Linked DNA regions of Ovis aries. The protein of the gene in region 1 purifies or fractionates together with the protein of each later gene. This does not show direct contact. Links are inferred from orthologs where the notes say so. Each region holds a gene or a part of one and is shown in the gene's direction. Other genes may lie near its edges. The genes, in order: CPSF6, RBBP6, WWP2, NCBP3 and SRPK2.

Region 1 (4,068 bases):
CATTGTATCAGTAATTTCTGGGCAGGGTGTATCTTATAAACACACACTAACTTGGTGGGGTTTTAAAAGGATGAGAAAGAATAGGAAGAGGTTTCAAACTGGAGAGACACCTTTGAATTAAAGTGAAGTAGTCCCCACTTGGGGCTTCCCAGGTGGCTAGTGGTAAAGAACCCCAGAAGGGATATGCTCCAAGACCCCTAGTGGATGCCTGACACTGCAGTAGTACCCAAACCTAAATATACCATATCTTTTTTCTGGACTAACAGGTAGTGTATAAAAGGTGCTAGACAAAAAGATGATTCATTTCCAGGGATGGTTGTTGTAGGATGGCTAAAGATTTCTTGGATGCTACTCAGAACTATAGCTACTTAAAACTTAGGAACTATTTCTGGAATTTTCCATTTAACATTTTTGGACTGCAGTTGACTGGCAAACGCTTTTTTATTAACCACGTGACTCCTATTAAGCCACTTAAGATTCTTTAGGCCTCAGTTCCTTTTATCATCTGTAAAATGAGATGTTTGGACCTAAAGTCATCTTTTCTAGTTCCCCTCCTTCTCTGACATTCTATGAGTCTAAGAGAGGAGTTTCCTCGTCTGAAGATACCTCCACTTTATAGGGTGGGCCCAACGGGGACCGCATTCAAGTTTGAGACATTTAAACTATCCCAGGAACAACCAACTGCAGCTCAAAGGAGGTTAAAAATGACGGGCGATGAAAAGGGGGCGGGGGAGGAGATGAAAGAAGACGATGCAGAAGATACAGATGGAAAGATAAACGGTATGCAAATGACATAAGTAGCATGCAAATAACTCAAGAAAACCATCAACCGGTAACTAGTATTTACAAGGCAGACGAAATTCTGCTGGTCTTTTGAGGATGCAGAGGTAAGACATCCTCTGGAGGCGCTCATGGAAAGCCGGGCTACACTTTTGGTGTTTCATCTAGACATAAAACTTCCACCTCCCTAAAAGCCCTGGCTGTGAGAAAAGTAAGAAAAACTGAGAAATGAAAATATCACAAAATGCTTAAGAGTGCCAAAGACAACGTGGAAACTGTCTGGAGACAACTGGGACCACCCCCGCCCCGCCCCCCAAGCCTAATCCAGACACACAAAAGAAACCGCCGGCGCCTTCGGAGACGCAGTTTCCCTTCTTCGCCAGCTAAGCAGGCGGTGGCGGAGACCCGCGCCCCCGGCTGCCCCCGCCTCGGCCCTCGGGCCTCGGAAGTGACGCAGCGCGCCCCGCCCCCGCCGCTAGATCCGCTGCTGCTGCCGCGGCGGGCGGACCTGCAAGAGGCGGCGGCGGCGGCCGAGGCCGAGGGAAGATGGCGGACGGTGTGGACCATATAGACATTTACGCGGATGTGGGCGAAGAGTTCAACCAGGTACGTGTGGGCCCGGGCTCACGCCGCCGAGGTGGGCGGCGCTGCGGCCGGGACGCGGACCTCGGGCCCGCTGCGGGCCACGAGCCGGCGCGGCTGCAGACCGTGCGCCCTTGGCGCCAGTGGGCCGCGCCGCCCGATCCCGGCGCAGCGCCCGCCTCGCCGCTCGTTCTACCGCGTCGTTTCGTGGGCGGCGGGCGCCGCCACCCTCCGCGGGGATCCGAGCGCGGACGCCGGCCACTGTGCAGCCGCTGCCGGCTCCTCCCTCGCCGCCGCCTCGCTCCCCATTGTTGGCGGAGGCCGGCGGGCGCTTCCCGCCTCGCTAGGCCCGGGCGGCGGGGCGGCGTGTGCGCGGCGGGGAGGACGGGCCGCCCCTGCGCTCCCTCCCCCGCGGCTAGGTCGAGGAGGAAGCCCGGCGGGGCGCGCGCCGGCCTTCACCTTGCCCCCGGCCCTGCCGCTCGGGCTCCGATTCCTTCGGTCGCTCCATTTTGTGTCTCTGTCGTCACTGGGTCGCCTCATGGAAGGCCGTGTTCACGGCCCTTTGTATCCCGCGCGCCCAGCTTCCTGAGCTCCCCTGCCCGCGTTTGCGACAGGTTTCGGCGTGGCGCCATCCTTTTCCTTCTCTCACTCTTTGGGAAGACGGCTTCGGTGCGGGCACGTTTGCAACAAGTCCTTTGACTTTCGGACCCATGGATCGTGTTTAAAAAGTCGGTGCACTGGCCCTACCTCGGTGTTCGAGGGCTTGCAGTGCCTCTGAGGCCCAGTCGTTCTCGGTCTTTGTGATGAAAATACCAGTGAAGATAGGTGGCCCGGGCCAAAAGGAAGACTTGGAAGCGCGAGGGTTGGATGGAACAAAAAAGATGGTAGCTCACCAAGAGAAGAGATCAGAGTAATGATTAAAGAATCTCACCCGAAATCCACATGGTGTTTGTTAGTTTTATAGCTGTTTCCCGATTTCCGAAAGCAAAATGTTGACTGTTCTCCGAGGGGTTTGGAAAGGCTGGAGAAAGTGAGAATGCAAGGTTTTTCCGGTATCTCACAGGCCACAGTTGCCTAGAAGGACTATCCGTGGAGCTATGATGTCTGATGTTGTGCATCCTTGCAAAAGGTTGTTACTAGAGCAGTGACGTTTAAGCTGTAAGCATTCTGGTCACATCTGCTGTCTTTTATATAGTAACACATTTAAAAAAAGCAAATTGTGTTTAACTGCAGTGTTCCTAATAGCTTTCTTACATTTTCCAGGTCCATGTAAGCTTAGTAAAATTCTGGTTACTGTGTTTTTGTGGGTTTTTTCCCCTCCTTTAAGGATTTTATTTGTGCTAGGAGTTAAGGATTTTTTTAAATAGGGAAAACTAGAAATCCTTTTTTTTTTGTTTTGAGGGATGATGGTGCCCTTAAGTTTAAAATTAGAAGAAAAGTTCAATTAGCTTTAAATGTTTTCTACCCCATTAAAAAAAGAGTATATTTAAACGTAACTCATTGTTATCAAATGTTAAGTTTTAAAATCTTCATTGTGTTGCGCTTAAGGTTTTTTTTCTTTTTTTTTTTTACTATGCCTGAGTTGTATCAGTGACAATTTAGAAAGTTACCTCGAGTGCTAAACACAGTCGGGTTCTAATGCTTTTTTTAAGGTCAGTAAACAAAGACCTCTGGGAAATTTCTTTTCCTTTTATTTATCAAATGAGTGTAACATTCCATCGACAGGAGGTCCATATCTGCAAGTAAAAAAACAAATGTTCAAGGGAGTCTTCATTAGCCCTCTTCCAAGAAAATATATTTCCTTTTGTCTTTCTAGTTACAGTAAAGGAGTGCTGGACTACAATTTTAGAAGTTGAGCATTGTTCACAACCTTTTAATGAGATACTTTTTAGGCTTTTGCATACTTCATTTGGGATGGGCATTTTTGTCATCTGTGTAGCTGGATGGAGTGATACTTGCTTATCCCTGTGCACCAGCTAGTGCTGACCGAACAGGAGGTAAGAAGAGATTAAAATTTGGTAGCCCTGATGAACTGCTTAATAGGGTTCTTTTAAAAATAACATTTTGTGGATTTTACCTATAGCATTTATATTGCACATGTATTTGAATGGTTTTTGCCTCTAGGATCTTCATACTTTCTAATCAATTAATGGCATTAAATAGAGGCTTTGTTTTTGTTGTTATTTTGTGTATCACTGGCCTTTGTAATCTACTGCTTGCTGTGATAATTGCTGTTCACAATATAGCCATAAAAGGGTAGTTGATGGTTTTTTAAGGTTCATTCTTAATTTTTTAAAATGTTACTAGTATTGAAATATGTACCTGAAATTTTATCAGAGTTAGAAGCAACTACAAAATTGTTGATTTAATTTGCATTCTTATTAGCTGGTGACATTACTTCTGTTGGTTGCTAAACTGACTTTATTTTGTTGTAGCTGAGTAAAATGTCTTGCTAAGTATAACGGGTTTTATTTCGGCTTCTAAACTGCTGTAAACATTTAAAAAGTCTTCAATGTGAGCTGTAGTTTTAATTGCATTGTATACTTTGAAGTTCTTTGTAATATATGTGTTTTTTATTTTTTCTGTTTTAAACAGTTATACTTGTATGATGTCTATTTCATGTATGTACTTTGGTAAAGAGCAGTGTAAACCTGTTTCAAAAAGTGAGACATTCAATTGTTTTAAAAACTTTAATTTGGAGATGGT
Region 2 (3,516 bases), on another chromosome or scaffold:
ATACCTTATTTTTACAAATGCTGAAAGCAGGAAAGTGCTTTGCCCAGCCCTGTGTTTTCTGTTTATTTGTGAACTGTCATTATTGGAGAAAGCTTTGCTGTAGTAAGCTTTGCTATTGGCTTGGTTAAGAGAAGAGAAAGTATGCATCTTATGCTGTCCTCAAATTAGGAGAGAAAAAGATATTTAGGCACTTAATGAATTTTATGGCAAGTAGTATCAGTGTCACAAGGCAGCTGAGTAAGAATGCCACTTGCTTTTAGCACCATCCAGTGAATTAAAGAGGACAGAATAAATATTTATAGCTTCATAGTTAGGAGATTGCCTAGGAAAGAATGGCAAACTGGATCGCTTTAGTTTGTTTGAATTAATGTTTCTATCATGTTTCTATAAAAGATTCCAGACAGTTTTGGAAGTCTGTCCATGTTTAGGACTCTTAAATCTTAGACTGAAATGCTTGAATCAGAATTTCATGTTTCAGATTTAAGAGTTCTGCTTCTTTGTTTCTAGACTACATTTCAAAATGAATCTCAAATTATGTTTTTGTGTTTTTCCTATATAAACTTGTTTTTCTAAGTTTTCTGCTTATTTGCAATTATCCGCCCCCCACCCCCCAAAAAAAGCACACACACACAACAAAACAGCCTTTATTCTGAACTTAGGGTAAAAAAGATTTGGAAGCTGAGGAAAAAGGATTTTCAAAAGACTATTTCTCCATTTCTTAAATTCGTCTTTTCATTTCATCCGTATTCTTCATGTTTTTGGATCAAAAATGGAAGTGTCAAATAGAGAGGATCTTTTGAAGCTAACAGGTTACTTATTGAGGTATCTTAAAGGTAGGGAATCATCAGTGTAATTCAGATACTTTAAAAGGTCATTTAGCATGTGGCGTCAGAGCCAGACTTTAAGCTTGACAGCACTGTGTTGATGAGGTGAATAAAGTTGTCTTGGAAAGCTCCTGAACACAGTTGCTGTTTGTTCCTACAGTGAACTCTTTTGACAGTTGTTACATAGTCAGCAACTTAATTGTCTGGTATTTGACATAAAGTTTTAGAGTTGTTTTTTTTTTTTCTAAAGATTCCTCATCGCCCATGCTTCTGGGTTTTTCTTTCCTAGTGCTTGCTTGGAATTTGGAACTATCCTGAACTATGCAAAAGATAATGATGGTAGTCTTACACTAGAAAATTGTCTCACTCAAATTGGATGCTTACGAAGATAAAGCTTACTACTTGAAATACATATATCAAAAAGAACCCTTCCCTGAACAATTTATGTGTATGTGCACTCAATCATGTCCAGCTCTTTATGACCCTGTAGACTGTAGCCCTCCACCCCTCTGTCTGTGGAATTTTCTAGGCAAGAATACCGGTTAGGTTGCCATTTCGTCTTCGAGGGGATCTCCCCAATCCAGGTATTGAACTTGCGTCTCTTACTCATCTCTTACCACTGTGCCACCTGGGAAACCCAATTTATGATAATGTGATTAGAAAGGATACAGCCAGTATATCTATAAAAGCTTAAAATGCTTACTACATATTTGATTAACTTAAAATAATTAGAACAGAGGTTGATAAGCTTAATATTAATAATTAGAGCACTTGGTGCTAAGTAACTTAAGTGAGTCAGGTAAACTCAGTAATTTAAAAAGAGTGAACCCTAATACTTGATTGTGTGATTAAGAGAGATGGTTATATTTTTACATATATCCCCCTGTAGTGGATTATTTTTGGTAATTTTGCAAATTCCTCTCATAGCAAATTTATTTTTAAACCATCGTTGAATTCATTGATTGATTTTTTGTTTGCATTTCATTCTTAGAGAACTATTGCAAGTAATATTCCCAAGAATAGGATAATTCTTCCTGTCTGTCTGCTCAGAAAGTAGCATCTGTGTTCGTCCAGTTGCTTAAGCCAGGAACCCAGGAATTCATGCCTAATTTCTGTTGGAAAGCCTTAAAACATTCTCTTGATTTCTCTGTCACTTCCGGAGCAGATCATTATTCTCTCTTACCTGAGCCTACGCAGCAGTCTCCTCCTTAATCACCCTGTTTCTGTTCTTGTTCCTATACAGATTCATTCTTCACTTAGATACCAGAGTTTTTAATATGTTTTTAATATGAATCAAATTGTCATCATATTTATTTAAAATCCTTCATTGACTTCCTGTTGTACTTAGAAACAATATAAATATATGTAACCTGTGCCTGTGTTTCTAGTCATTCTGTCCTTCTCATCAGCTCTTCTGGCCTTGCGGTGTCATTTTTTCCACGTTTCTCTGTCTGAAACATTCTTTGTCGGTGTTTTTGCACATCTTGTCTTCTCAGTCTTCTCTAAGTCTCAGATGTCACTTCCTCCGAGGGGCTTTCCTTGAATCAGCTTTCTATCCAAAGTTGCATCCCACTTTGAATTCTTTATTACAAAGCCCTTTTTTCTTTGCTTACAAAGTATTCAAAATGTGTCATACTTTTTAGTCTGTCTTCCCCAGTAATACTGGTGTACAGCCCAGGAAAAGTGAAGGGAAGTCGCTCAGTCATGTCCAACTCTTTGCGACCCCATGGACTGTAGCCTACCAGGCTCCTCTATCTATGGAATTTTCCAGGCAAGAACACTGAAGTGGGTTGCCATTTCCTTCTCCAGATCATCTTCCCAACGCAGGGATTGAACCCAGGTCTCTCCCGCATTATAGGCAGACGCTTTACAGTCTGAGCCACCAGGAGAGAGAAAATATTTATTCTAAATGACAACTTTTTCCTCATATACTTCAGATGTTCAGCATTACTGGCTAAATAGAGAACAACTTAGTCTTCCTGAGACTTGGGGTTCAACCTCCATCTCTGGTAGAGGTGCCAGAGCCAAGAACCTGTTGACATATTTGGTGTTAACTCCTTATGGCTTTGGACATTTGTTCTGACAGTATCAGTAATCTCGATGCAAGGAACATGTGGTTATTAATGTTCTTTTATATTTAAGATGATTTCCCATAAAATTTATGTCTGGTTGAAGTTTTCTAATTCTTGAGGACTATGACTTACCCAAATCTCTAAATAGAAATTCAACTCTTTATCCTTTTATTTACAGAATATACTGATGATAATGCTCTAATTCCTAAAAATTCATCTGTAATTGTTAGAAGAATTCCTATTGGAGGTGTTAAATCTACAAGCAAGACATATGTTATGTAAGTATTTATTAAATCCCACATTTGCAAGTTCTCAAAATACTTTTTACTTTGTGAGAGGAAAAGATATACTTTAGAACTGAACTCATTACTTTGTGCTAGTGAGTATGTCTTCTTAATCCTTAAAATTATGAGAATGTTTGTTTTCCTGATTTCTTTCCCCAGTTAAACTGTAGTCAGAAGTAACAGTAGACTTTTTGATCTATGTAGGTAATATTAACAAAAAGCAAATGATCTTCAAATAAGTAAATCTTTGCCCTTTGTTGGTTTTTATTACCTGGGTACTTTCCCCTCCTACCATTTTTTCACTACAAGAATGTAAGTGTCTTGAAATCTGTCCTA
Region 3 (3,516 bases), on another chromosome or scaffold:
TACAGAGGCCTGGTGGTGCTGAGCAGAGAGGTATGAGGGAAAAGGCAGCCTCCCCACCGCGCCCCCAGTGACCCTGCCTGTGAGACAGGGATGCCTAGGTCAGCTGCATCCAGTGAATGAAGAACCAGAGAGTAGCCGTGATGGTCTGGGGTGGGCACCAGGGTCGAGGGAGGCTGGGCTGTGGCTCCACTTTGCACACAGCTGGATGCAATTACGCCTCTGGTTTCAGCTGGCCTGCTCCCGCTCTGTGTTGCCACACTGCCCCCTTCCCTCCAGCAAGCCAACCAACCGACTGACCGAAGACGGTGCTTCATCTTGAGTTGAAAGCGTGTATACCCCTCCCCTGCTCCCCAGTAGGGAAAGATTCTCTTTGTCCTTTTCTTCGCCAGTGACAGACATGAGTGAGTCAGGCTTGAGCTGGTTAAACTTCTCTAACAGGGTGGGGACAGAGGCAGAGACGCAGACCTAGCACCCAGGAGGTGGGAGCCAGAGGGGAGAGGACGTGGGCTCAACGTGTCTCAATCTGAGCGTCCACTTTTCTTTCTCCTCCCCGGCAGAGAAGAGACAGGACAACGGACGGGTGTATTACGTGAACCACAACACACGCACAACCCAGTGGGAAGACCCTCGCACCCAGGGGTGAGGACTTAGGCCGGGAGGGCTCTGGGTGGGCCCCGTGCACCTCCATTGGCCTGGTGGCCTCGCACTATATTTGGCCTCTGTGGCTGATGTTCTGGGACCTTTAAGCACACACAAGTGCCCTCAGACCCTCACGATATAATGAGAGCTTGAAAGCGGCACCTTATGTTGGCCTTCCTCATGGCTGCAGCGTGGCCTGACTGGCCGGTGTTGCTGGTCTCTGGTGTACAAGCTGCTGATGAAGTGATTTCAGAAGGGTTATGTGAGAACTCCCCCCGACCCCGACACTCCTCTACTACCCACCCCCCCAGAAGCTAATCTGGGATGGGGCACTTGATGTCTTGGGATTGCTGGTGGCCACTGAGGCCACGGCCATCCACCCAGGGCGGGGATTCTTTGGGCCTTGGGACAGTAATGATCTGTCTCCGCTGCAGACCTTGGGTATTGCCAAGTACCTTTCCTTGAGGCCTCTGCGGGGCCTGGGTAAAAGCAGAGAGAAGGCAGCCCCAGCCTTCTGGGGACCCCAGCCCCCTTAGCATGGAAGCCCATATGAGGTCCTGCAGCCCCTCTCTTCCCATGTTTCCAGGATGATCCAGGAGCCGGCTCTGCCCCCAGGGTGGGAGATGAAGTACACCAGCGAGGGGGTGCGCTACTTCGTGGACCACAATACCCGCACCACCACCTTTAAGGATCCTCGCCCGGGGTTTGAGTCAGGGTAAGGACTTTGCACTTAGGGCTTGCCAGGTGGTGCTAGTGGTAAAGAATCCGTCTACCAGCGTAGGAGATGAAAGAGACATGGGTTCAATCCCTGGGTCAGGAAGATCCCCTGGAGAAGGAAATGGCAACCCACTCCAGTATTCTTGCCTGTAAAATCCCATGGACAGAGGAGCCTGGCGGACTACAGTCCATGGGGTCACAAAGAGTTGGACAAGACTGAGCGCCTGAGCACCAGCACTGAGGACTGTGCAGGTGACATCACTGTTAGCTTAGGCCTAGTATAGCTGCTCTTCCCACCCTCTAGTGGCCAGTTTTGATGCCACGCCAGTGGGGATGGGGAGGGAAGGGGCTTCTCTATTCAGACTAACACTGGTGGTCTTTCCCTAAAATCAAGAGGTCTGGCTTTTCTAGATTTTCTTTTTAACCTTCAAGTCTGCAGAAGATCTCAGTGGTGGACCCTTCCTTTCTTTTATGCTTTACTTTACTCGTCTCTAAATTAACAGAGCAGTAGCTTTCCTTAGGGCTAATATGTTGCCAAGTTTTGAGAAATCTCGTGAATTCCAGAACATCTTTGCTCTTCCCAGGACAAAACAAGGTTCCCCTGGCGCCTACGACCGAAGTTTTCGGTGGAAGTATCACCAATTCCGTTTCCTCTGCCATGTGAGTTCTGGTACTGGGGCTCCCCCTGGAGATTGGGGTTACAGAGTCATTTCAGCAGTTTCCTAGCCTAGTTGCAGGTGTTGGAACACCTGTGTCTTAGGTGGGAGCAGGTCACTTGTCTCACTCTGAGCAGTTGTGTGACACTGTCTTCCATTCCTAGGGGACCAAGTTCTCCCCACCTAACCTGGGGGTGGAGGGTAGGGGAAGCTTATTCAACAGACAAGTGATCAGATTGAATAGTTACCACCAACGCCCCAATTTGAGGTCTCTGTTTTCCTTTTCTTTTCAGTCAAATGCTCTCCCCAGCCACGTGAAGATCAGTGTTTCCAGGCAGACACTTTTTGAGGATTCTTTCCAACAGGTTAGAGAATAATCACTGAGTCTAAGACCCAGGGCAGGGAGAAGGCCCGCTGCTACCACCCTGTCTTCTCTTGTGTGGCCCTTTAAGCCCACATGATACGGTTTTCAAGACGTGGGCCTTGGTTATGGGGAATCAGCCGAAGAGCAGGCCTGGGAGTCCCTGGTCGCCTGCCCCCAGCCTGCCATGGAAGGGAGAATGGCAGGCTGGCCATGACCTTCTGTCTCCCCAGATCATGAACATGAAACCCTACGACCTGCGCCGCCGGCTCTACATCATCATGCGTGGCGAGGAGGGCCTGGACTACGGGGGCATCGCCAGGTGAGCTGGGAGCCCCAAAAGGCCGTGCTGCTCCCTGCTTCACCAAGCTGCAGGGCACTCGGCCAGGAAGCTGCCTCCTTGCTCAGACAGTTGCCAAAGCTCTCCTTTACCTTCAGGAGTGGGCAGGGGTGTGGGTGGTCCAAAGGGGTGCTGGAACTGGTTCCTGGGGTCCCCTTCTGGGCTAGGCATCAACCCTCTAATTGCTGGGTCAAGGGGAAGCTGGGGGTTGGTTTCTAGGGGAGCGGTTCAGGATGATGGCTCTTTTAAAAATTTTTTTAATTTTGTATTGGGGTATAGTCAATTAACAAACTGTCGTGATAGTTTTAGGTGAACAGTAAAGGGACTCAGCCGTCCATGTACGTGTATCCATTTCCCCCCAAACGCCCACCTCCCATCCAGGCTGCCACATACCATTTGAACAGAGTTCCATGTGCTGTATAGTAGGCCCTTGTTGAGAACAATAGTTCTTTGCCAACCAACCTGTCATTATTTCTTTATTTTACCCATCTAGTTGCACCAGTGGGCAGTGGTTAGATATCGGTATTAAGTGGTTGTCCGTTGGAATCGACCCTGGACTTCACTTCCTCTTGAGGCAGCTGGGGTGGGCTCAGTTGGGGGTCTTGGTGTAGATCTGGCATATATACATTGTGTCCCAATCCAGAGGGTCTTGATAAATACTTGGCTGCATGTCATGTACACAGTGACGGTAAAATGAAAACAAATGGTATACTCCTAAAAAGAACTCAAAGCATTGTCTTGCCCTCACCCCAGTGCTGCTACAAAAGTTAATAGATTCTCTGGCAAAATGTTGCCTTGGATGA
Region 4 (3,516 bases), on another chromosome or scaffold:
TGAATTAAAACTCTGAATAAATAAAACGGTGTTACTATATTGGATGTATGAAAGCAAAAATAAAAATAAGTATGTCATGCTTATTTTTTTGTGTTTTATCTGGGTCTCAATCTGTCTCAGATTGCTTAAAGGCAAAAAGAAAGAACTGATCATCTTTTTTGACAGGAAAATAGAATGAAGTGAAGGTGTTTTCTTACTGAAACTGAAAAAGCAGTATGCAGTCCTGTTCTTAAGCCTACACAATTTACCATTATTTGAAACAAATATATAGTGGAAAGGGTGGTAGCCAAGAATTGGTACTTTGGTTCTTACCAAAGGAAGGTAAACTAGTTGTTTCCAGTGGGAAGACTTCAGTGGAGAAAATTAACATAACTATTGGGAAATAACAGAAGTGTTGCTGCCTTACCAATCCCCAGAAGCTTTCTATAGTCAGACCTTCAATTAGTGTGGCAAAGTCAATATACAATTAGTGAAGGTTCCAAAGAGCTATCAGAAACCCACAGTTGGACCTGGGTATATTTTAGCTCTTGGGGAAAAAAAAAATTAGGAAGCTGATTATTTGGTTTTTCAGAAAGCATCAGTGCTTCTTTTCACTTCAAGATGAAAACTGGCAATTCTGTGGACACAAGTTTAGAATAGAGGAGAGAGTTTCTTGGCTTCAGTGTTATTTTTAAACACAAAAAAAGCTTTAGGGAGTGGACTGCTCAGGCAGACATAACGTGATAGGTGTGATTACCATGCACACAGACGATGTGAAATGGGGGCGGTGGTGGGGCTTCTAGAAATAGCGCTGAGAAGATCTGCCCCTTACCAGCTGAAGTGCCCCTGGCAAACATTTTAGCTTTTTTGTGCCCCGGTTTCTGCACAGATACATTGATAGGCACTGAGTCGTCCTCGAGATGATGACAGATTGCAGCACTGCTAGCGCCCACTCTGCCAGCCATTGCCAATACCCTGTTCATTGCAACAATGAGGCAAGGCACAGTGTTGTTCATACCTTCTGAGTTGCTTGTCAAGCCAGTGTATCACGTGATGTTTGTGATTTAACTCTCCTCCACATTTCACTTCTTTGGCTTTTTTTCTGCACCTTCTAGGAAGCGATTGAAAAGAAGGAGCAGCGAGCCAAGCGCTTCCATTTTCGATCAGAAGTAAATCTTGCCCAAAGAAATGTAGCCTTGGACCGAGACATGATGAAGAAAGGTACAGGGTGTTTGGGGGGAGTTTTCCGCAGTTTCCTTGCCACGGCCTTGTGCTTCTGGCCTCACCTCACGTGGAACTTGTGAATTCGCCGCTTCTGAGGTGGCCTGTTAGCGATGAGCTGCGTTAGCTGTGTCTCAGTGTTTTGTGTATGTGTGTGTGTGTGTGTATTCATTTGGCTGTGTCAGAACTTCAGGATACTGTCTAAGGAGCCCCAGAGAACCTCATGGAGTTGGTGGCAGATCGGCGATTAGAACTGTGGCTCTGTGGGACTCTTACTCATTTTCTGCTTTATTGTAGAAGTGTTCACTTTTCTTTGCCTTTAAATGTAGCAGGAGTGTATCGCAGTGAGACTCTTTTAGAGGAGTCAGATTGGTGAGGGATACCGTTAATACTTCTGTTGATCCAGGTTTGTGATTTTACTTTATTTTTGTGTTTTATTAAGGTTAAGTATTTTGCTTCCTGAAACTCACCCTGAATTCTTAAATATGATAACCTACCCCAGATTTTGAAGACAGTTTATAAATAGAAGGGAAAATTATTGCTTCCCTTTTCGTGAGTTCACAGCCATGTTTATTATCCCGTAAATGCAAATGATCTGCCTTTGTTGTATTTGCAAATTGGAGACTTGGCGAAGGGCTTTAATAGGCAGCCATCTGAAGGCACGTTAAAGGTCTGTGCTCTGCTGTATGAGTTTCTCTAGGTTTGCCTATTTGATAAAAACATGTTGAATGAATGGAAGAGTAGCTACTATTTGTCGGGAACTTGCTCTCTTATGAGGCGCTGTGTTAGCACATTACATATTTGTTTCGTACTCATTTCTCACAACAACCCCACGAGGAATATATTTTTATCCCTAGTTTACAAAGAAGGAAACAGGCTCAAAGAAATTAAATAAATGCGCAGGTTTACACAACTAGTAAAAGTGGAGTCAGGATTAGAACTCAGATTTATCTGACCCTAAAGCCTTGCTTTTAACTGTTTGCTCTGTTGCCTTACAATGTATGACATGATAGCAGAGACCCAGGCCGCCTCAGTCCTTCCCAGTGGTCAGAGTAGCTCAACTCTGGATGCTACTTCACTGTTTTTATTCTGCATCGTGTTCAATTTGGAAACATGACCTTGCTTGCCTCGCAGGCTAGGTTTCCAGGCATCTGCTCGAGTGGTTGTCTGTTTCAGGAAAAGTCCTGTGAAGGCCAGGGCCAGCTGTGCAGCTGGTCGTTCGTGTGCCCGCACACTGGACCCACACAGACGTCTGAGGCCTCTCCCACAGCCCCACCTTGGACGCACTGTGGTTTCACACCGCGCCTGTTTACTTCTAGTCCTGGGCGCGTTCCATGTGGCATCTTGCCTCTGATCTCGTTCATGCCTGTCACCCTGCTGATTCGTCTTTCCTTGTCCCACACTTTGTCTGGTTCAGATGTCACGCCCTCTGCAGCATCCCTAATTACCCTCGTCAGTCTCTCTTCCCACCTGTGCTGGGGCTCTTCTGAGCCCGGAGCCCTCCTGGGATCCAGTCTCAGTTCCTTAGTGAATGTGGGGGAGTTAGTGAACCTTTTTAGGTTTCATTTTCTTTGTTCATAAAATGGGAATATGATACCCTCCTGAATAGGACCTCTTCTTTTGGGGTTAAATTTTAATTAAAAAAAAAATGCTTTTTGAAAAACAGTCTTGATCTCATGATTCTGAAGATACTCATAAAAGACCGTAGATCTCCCTAAACTATCAGTGGCTCATTACAACCTGTTTTTGGCCCAGAAGGCAGCATGGCTTCAGACTGTGTTCTTGAACTCCAGATAACCCTGCTGCCTTTCACAGATCGATTTAGAGTAGGGGGTAGGTTTGGATAAATCTCAGAGTTACTATTTTTTCATCTCCCCTGGTAATTCTGTTGTACAGTCGGGGTTAACTGTACCCTAAGAGCGTGGATTCTGAAGCCTGACTGTCTATATTCAAATCTTGACTTGTCACCTTCTAACTGTGATCTTAGGCAAGTTATTTAGCCTCTAAGAACCTCAGTATCTTCATCTGGAAAGTCAGGTTAACTTAGTTCTTACAGGGTTGTTGGGAGGTTCTAACAAAATGTTAGGATTCCTAGAGTGGTGCCTGGCACATAGTAAATGTTAGTTATTATTATTATCTGGCATTCTCCATCTTCCAGACAGCCATTTAAGTGGCCCAGCCTCTTGTGAGAATGGGGACATTGGAATAAACATCTCGATTCCTGCAGCCACAGTAAGGTACCGGGTTATTTCTTCTTATTAACATCAACAGTGATGAAATATACCATTCTATAAGTGCTCCCCACGTGGCAGTCAC
Region 5 (3,516 bases), on another chromosome or scaffold:
TCCATTCCCGTCCATTTTAGTTTGCTGATTCCTAGGATGTCATTGTTTATTCTTACCATCCCCTGCTTGATCACTCACAACTCACCTTGATTCATGGACCTAACATTCCAGGTTCCTATGCAGTACTGTTCTTTGCAGCACCGGATTTTACTTTTGACAACCAGACACATCCACAACCGAGCGTTGTATCCACTTTAGCCCAGCCACTTTATTCATTCTATTAGTACTTCTCCTCCACTCTTCCCCAGTCGCATATGGGACACCTTAGACCTGGGGGACTCATCTTTTGGTGCCATATCTTTTTGACCTTTTTTAATAGTTTGTGAAGGTTCTCATGGCAGGTATAACTGGGGTGGTTTGCCAGTCCCTCCTCTAGTGGATCACATTTTGTCAGAACTCTCTGCTATGATGTGTCTGTCTTGGGTGGCCCTGCATGGCATAGCTCAGAGCTTCATTGAGTTATGCAAGCCCCTTCGCCACAACAAGGCAGTGATCCATGAAAGGGATTAAATATCTGAAACCTTAAATTCTTACTGAGAACACTTTGCTTGTCTCAAGTGTCTCATTTTCATTGAAATTCATTTTAACACATTTGGATACTGGATCATATTAACTCTTACCTAAGCAGCTTCACACACAGTGAAACAACCTAAGAACTACGAAAGAACTAAGGTGGAAAGTTAGGAACAACTTGTTCATGAGATGGTAGTGAAAGATATTTTTGGAAAGATGCTGACATTTTAACTTTGAGTTAATATTTGATGATTGAAGTGAAATTTTAGTTGAAATAATTAAAAATAGTTTAAACTTTCTAAAAGTCTTATTCCTTTTACTTCCACAGACGGGAAGTCATCAGTGTACTTGTCCATTAATTTCTTGTACTTCTCAGAATTTCTCTTACTACTCATATATAAGAACTCCATGTGATACTTCAGTTTGCCCAAAGAAGATGCATGAATGCCAGTGAATATATACAGGCTCATTGAATTGTGTTCCCTTCAGAATTATAACCTTATTCTCTATGGAAACATATAATGCTATGTTTCGTACTGTTGGTATTTGGACATTTTAAACATAATTTAAACATATTCTAGTTGAAGTATTATCTAAAACATTAAATATTAATTTTAAGGTAAAGTCAAAGCCTCGTGGAGATGGGGAACTTTGTTTATTGCTGTGTATCAAACATCTATAAGCATATGCAGCCTGTTATAGGAGCTCAACTGATGCTCAGTCAGTGAAGTCATGTGAAAGTATTTCCAAGGAAAAGTTTTTAAAATGAATATGAGGATTTTCATCTTGGTTAAGAGACTCATGTTCCTTCTACTTTCCTTGCGAAATCTGTGCCTTCACTTACTAATGTTTTGTCATCTTAAGATTGTTTGGGCTTCCCTGGTATTGGCTCAGCTGCTAAAGAATCTGCCTGCAGAGCAGGAGAACTGGGTTGGATCCCTGGGTTGGGAAGATCTCCTGGAGAAAGGCTACCCACTCCAGTATTCTGGCCTGGAGAATTCCATGGACTGTATAGTCCATGGGGTCACAAAGAGTCGAACACGACTGAGGGACTTCTACTTTCAAGATTGTTTAGCCAGAAACTGAAGGTAGACAGAAGCATTGGGTTTTTGCTGAGAACTTTTCCGAGTTGTTCAGTATTAGATATCTTCTGCTTGTCTTTTCCTCACTTCCTTGTCTAATGTGATCAAGACACCAAATGACTTAAAATGTTTGAATGAAGATGTTTATTAAATGCAAATGTTTATTGAGCATGTAGAATTTGTAATATATGGGAACATGAACTGTATTTTAAAATATTTTTTTTCCTTATGAAAAGAAAGAATTCCCCTCTTATGGAAATAATTCCAGAAAAACTTTGGCCTGGCATTTAGGTCACCATACTCTGTAATTTTTGCTATATATATATTTACACAGACACACACACATGGTAAGTATGTGAGTATCTTGGTTTAGCAGTTTCTTTTAAATCAGTACTATATAGTTTATAGCCTGGGTACCAAAGCTACCTAATTCTCCTTTCCTACAATATTAGAAATGTACAGACATCATTAGCCATTATGGGAATGCATATCAATGAGATACACACTTCACACCCACAAGAGTGACTAAAATGAAAAGACAGATAACAAGTATTGATCATCCGGAAAAAACTGTAATCCTTGCACATTGCTGATGGGAATGTAAAATGATGCAGCCATAGATAGGATAAAACAGCTTGGCAGTTTATTGAAAGACTAAAGATAGAGTTACAGTATGACCCAATAATTGTGCTACTAAGAAAAATAAAGACATGTCTACATAGAAACTTGTACATGAATGTTTATAGCAATATATTTATAGTAGCCATAAAATGGAAAGAACTCAAATGTTCATCATTGAATGACTAAACAAAATGTATTTTCAGTGGAAAATTATTTGGCATCTAAAAAAAATGAGGTATTGCTATGTGCTACACATGGATGAACCTTGAAAGTATTGGGCCAGGTACAAAAGACCACTCTGTATCATTCCACTTACATAAAATGTCCAAAGCCAGGAAAGTAGATTAGTGGTTGCTTAGGGCTAGAGGAGTTGGAAGGAGATGGGGAGTGACTGCTAATGGGTGCAGTGTTTCGTCTTTGTGTGATGAACATGTTCTAAATTATATAGTGATGACCGTTGCACATCTAAAAACCATTCTATTGTACACTTAAAAGGTTGAATTGAAAAAAAAAGGGTGAATTGTGTGTCATGTAAATTATATCTCACCAAAGTTGTTATTTTAATAAGCATATGTTTAAATGCATTTTCTTATATGAGCATAAATTATCTCCAGAATGATATACACTGGTTGCTTATGGGAAGGAGCTGGGTTCCTGTCGGGCCCAAGTTCCTATTGTGCCTTGTAATGACTGTAACTATTTTACAAATAAATGTTGAATAATAGAAGTATTAATAACTCCTTCCTGATTTTATGTGATCAGGTCCTTCAGGGGTTAGATTATCTCCACAGTAAGTGCAAGATCATTCATACTGACATAAAGCCAGAAAACATCTTGATGTGTGTGGACGATGCATATGTGAGAAGAATGGCAGCCGAGGCCACCGAGTGGCAGAAAGCGGGCGCTCCTCCTCCTTCAGGGTCTGCAGGTGAGAGGCTGGGCCAGCTTTGTGTCAGTCTGTGTAGGGGCATTGAGAGCCTGCAAAGTTGTTCATAGGAAGCAGTTGAGTTAAACGTGTACATGTTAGGAACTTGCATAAGAGCCCGATGACTGGTAATAATTAGACCTTTTTCTTGAGAAGGAAGATGCCCCAGTTAAGTCGTACTTTAATATTTGAATTACTTAGCTTTGTCCTCCCTTAAAAGGTCACTGAATTCTTCTTACCTGCTGCTTCATTTTCATTTGAACTCTGTCTGCGTCGGCCACTTCTCTACAAAGGAGTGTATAGTAACAGGTTTCCTGTAGCCAACCTACAATCGTCAGCATGCTTCCTTGTCTCCATTGAGCATAGTTACATCAG

What was found.
Region 2: the proteins of CPSF6 (region 1) and RBBP6 purify together in Homo sapiens (affinity purification with mass spectrometry; 3 studies listed by BioGRID and IntAct, with this or other methods). This does not show direct contact. The link is inferred for Ovis aries from reciprocal best matches to the Homo sapiens genes CPSF6 and RBBP6.
Region 3: the proteins of CPSF6 (region 1) and WWP2 purify together in Homo sapiens (affinity purification with mass spectrometry; 3 studies listed by BioGRID and IntAct, counting the BioPlex papers as one, with this or other methods). This does not show direct contact. The link is inferred for Ovis aries from reciprocal best matches to the Homo sapiens genes CPSF6 and WWP2.
Region 4: the proteins of CPSF6 (region 1) and NCBP3 purify together in Homo sapiens (co-immunoprecipitation; 3 studies listed by BioGRID and IntAct, with this or other methods). This does not show direct contact. The link is inferred for Ovis aries from reciprocal best matches to the Homo sapiens genes CPSF6 and NCBP3.
Region 5: the proteins of CPSF6 (region 1) and SRPK2 purify together in Homo sapiens (affinity purification with mass spectrometry; 3 studies listed by BioGRID and IntAct, with this or other methods). This does not show direct contact. The link is inferred for Ovis aries from reciprocal best matches to the Homo sapiens genes CPSF6 and SRPK2.

What each region holds. Positions count from the first base shown.
Region 1 is NC_056056.1:150,777,720-150,781,787, reverse strand, and holds the start of CPSF6 (cleavage and polyadenylation specificity factor subunit 6), read left to right. Parts: upstream 1-1,257; 5' UTR 1,258-1,326; coding exon 1,327-1,386; intron 1,387-4,068. UniProt on the Homo sapiens protein: Component of the cleavage factor Im (CFIm) complex that functions as an activator of the pre-mRNA 3'-end cleavage and polyadenylation processing required for the maturation of pre-mRNA into functional mRNAs.
Region 2 is NC_056077.1:22,741,671-22,745,186, forward strand, and holds part of RBBP6 (E3 ubiquitin-protein ligase RBBP6), read left to right. Parts: intron 1-3,074; coding exon 3,075-3,174; intron 3,175-3,516. UniProt on the Homo sapiens protein: E3 ubiquitin-protein ligase which promotes ubiquitination of YBX1, leading to its degradation by the proteasome.
Region 3 is NC_056067.1:36,512,703-36,516,218, forward strand, and holds part of WWP2 (NEDD4-like E3 ubiquitin-protein ligase WWP2), read left to right. Parts: intron 1-557; coding exon 558-639; intron 640-1,225; coding exon 1,226-1,354; intron 1,355-1,940; coding exon 1,941-2,016; intron 2,017-2,305; coding exon 2,306-2,377; intron 2,378-2,606; coding exon 2,607-2,695; intron 2,696-3,516. UniProt on the Homo sapiens protein: E3 ubiquitin-protein ligase which accepts ubiquitin from an E2 ubiquitin-conjugating enzyme in the form of a thioester and then directly transfers the ubiquitin to targeted substrates.
Region 4 is NC_056064.1:24,361,243-24,364,758, reverse strand, and holds part of NCBP3 (nuclear cap-binding protein subunit 3), read left to right. Parts: intron 1-1,094; coding exon 1,095-1,200; intron 1,201-3,516. UniProt on the Homo sapiens protein: Associates with NCBP1/CBP80 to form an alternative cap-binding complex (CBC) which plays a key role in mRNA export. NCBP3 serves as adapter protein linking the capped RNAs (m7GpppG-capped RNA) to NCBP1/CBP80.
Region 5 is NC_056057.1:47,828,545-47,832,060, reverse strand, and holds part of SRPK2 (SRSF protein kinase 2), read left to right. Parts: exon of another isoform or gene 1-2,978; coding exon 2,979-3,144; intron 3,145-3,516. UniProt on the Homo sapiens protein: Serine/arginine-rich protein-specific kinase which specifically phosphorylates its substrates at serine residues located in regions rich in arginine/serine dipeptides, known as RS domains and is involved in the phosphorylation of SR splicing factors and the regulation of splicing.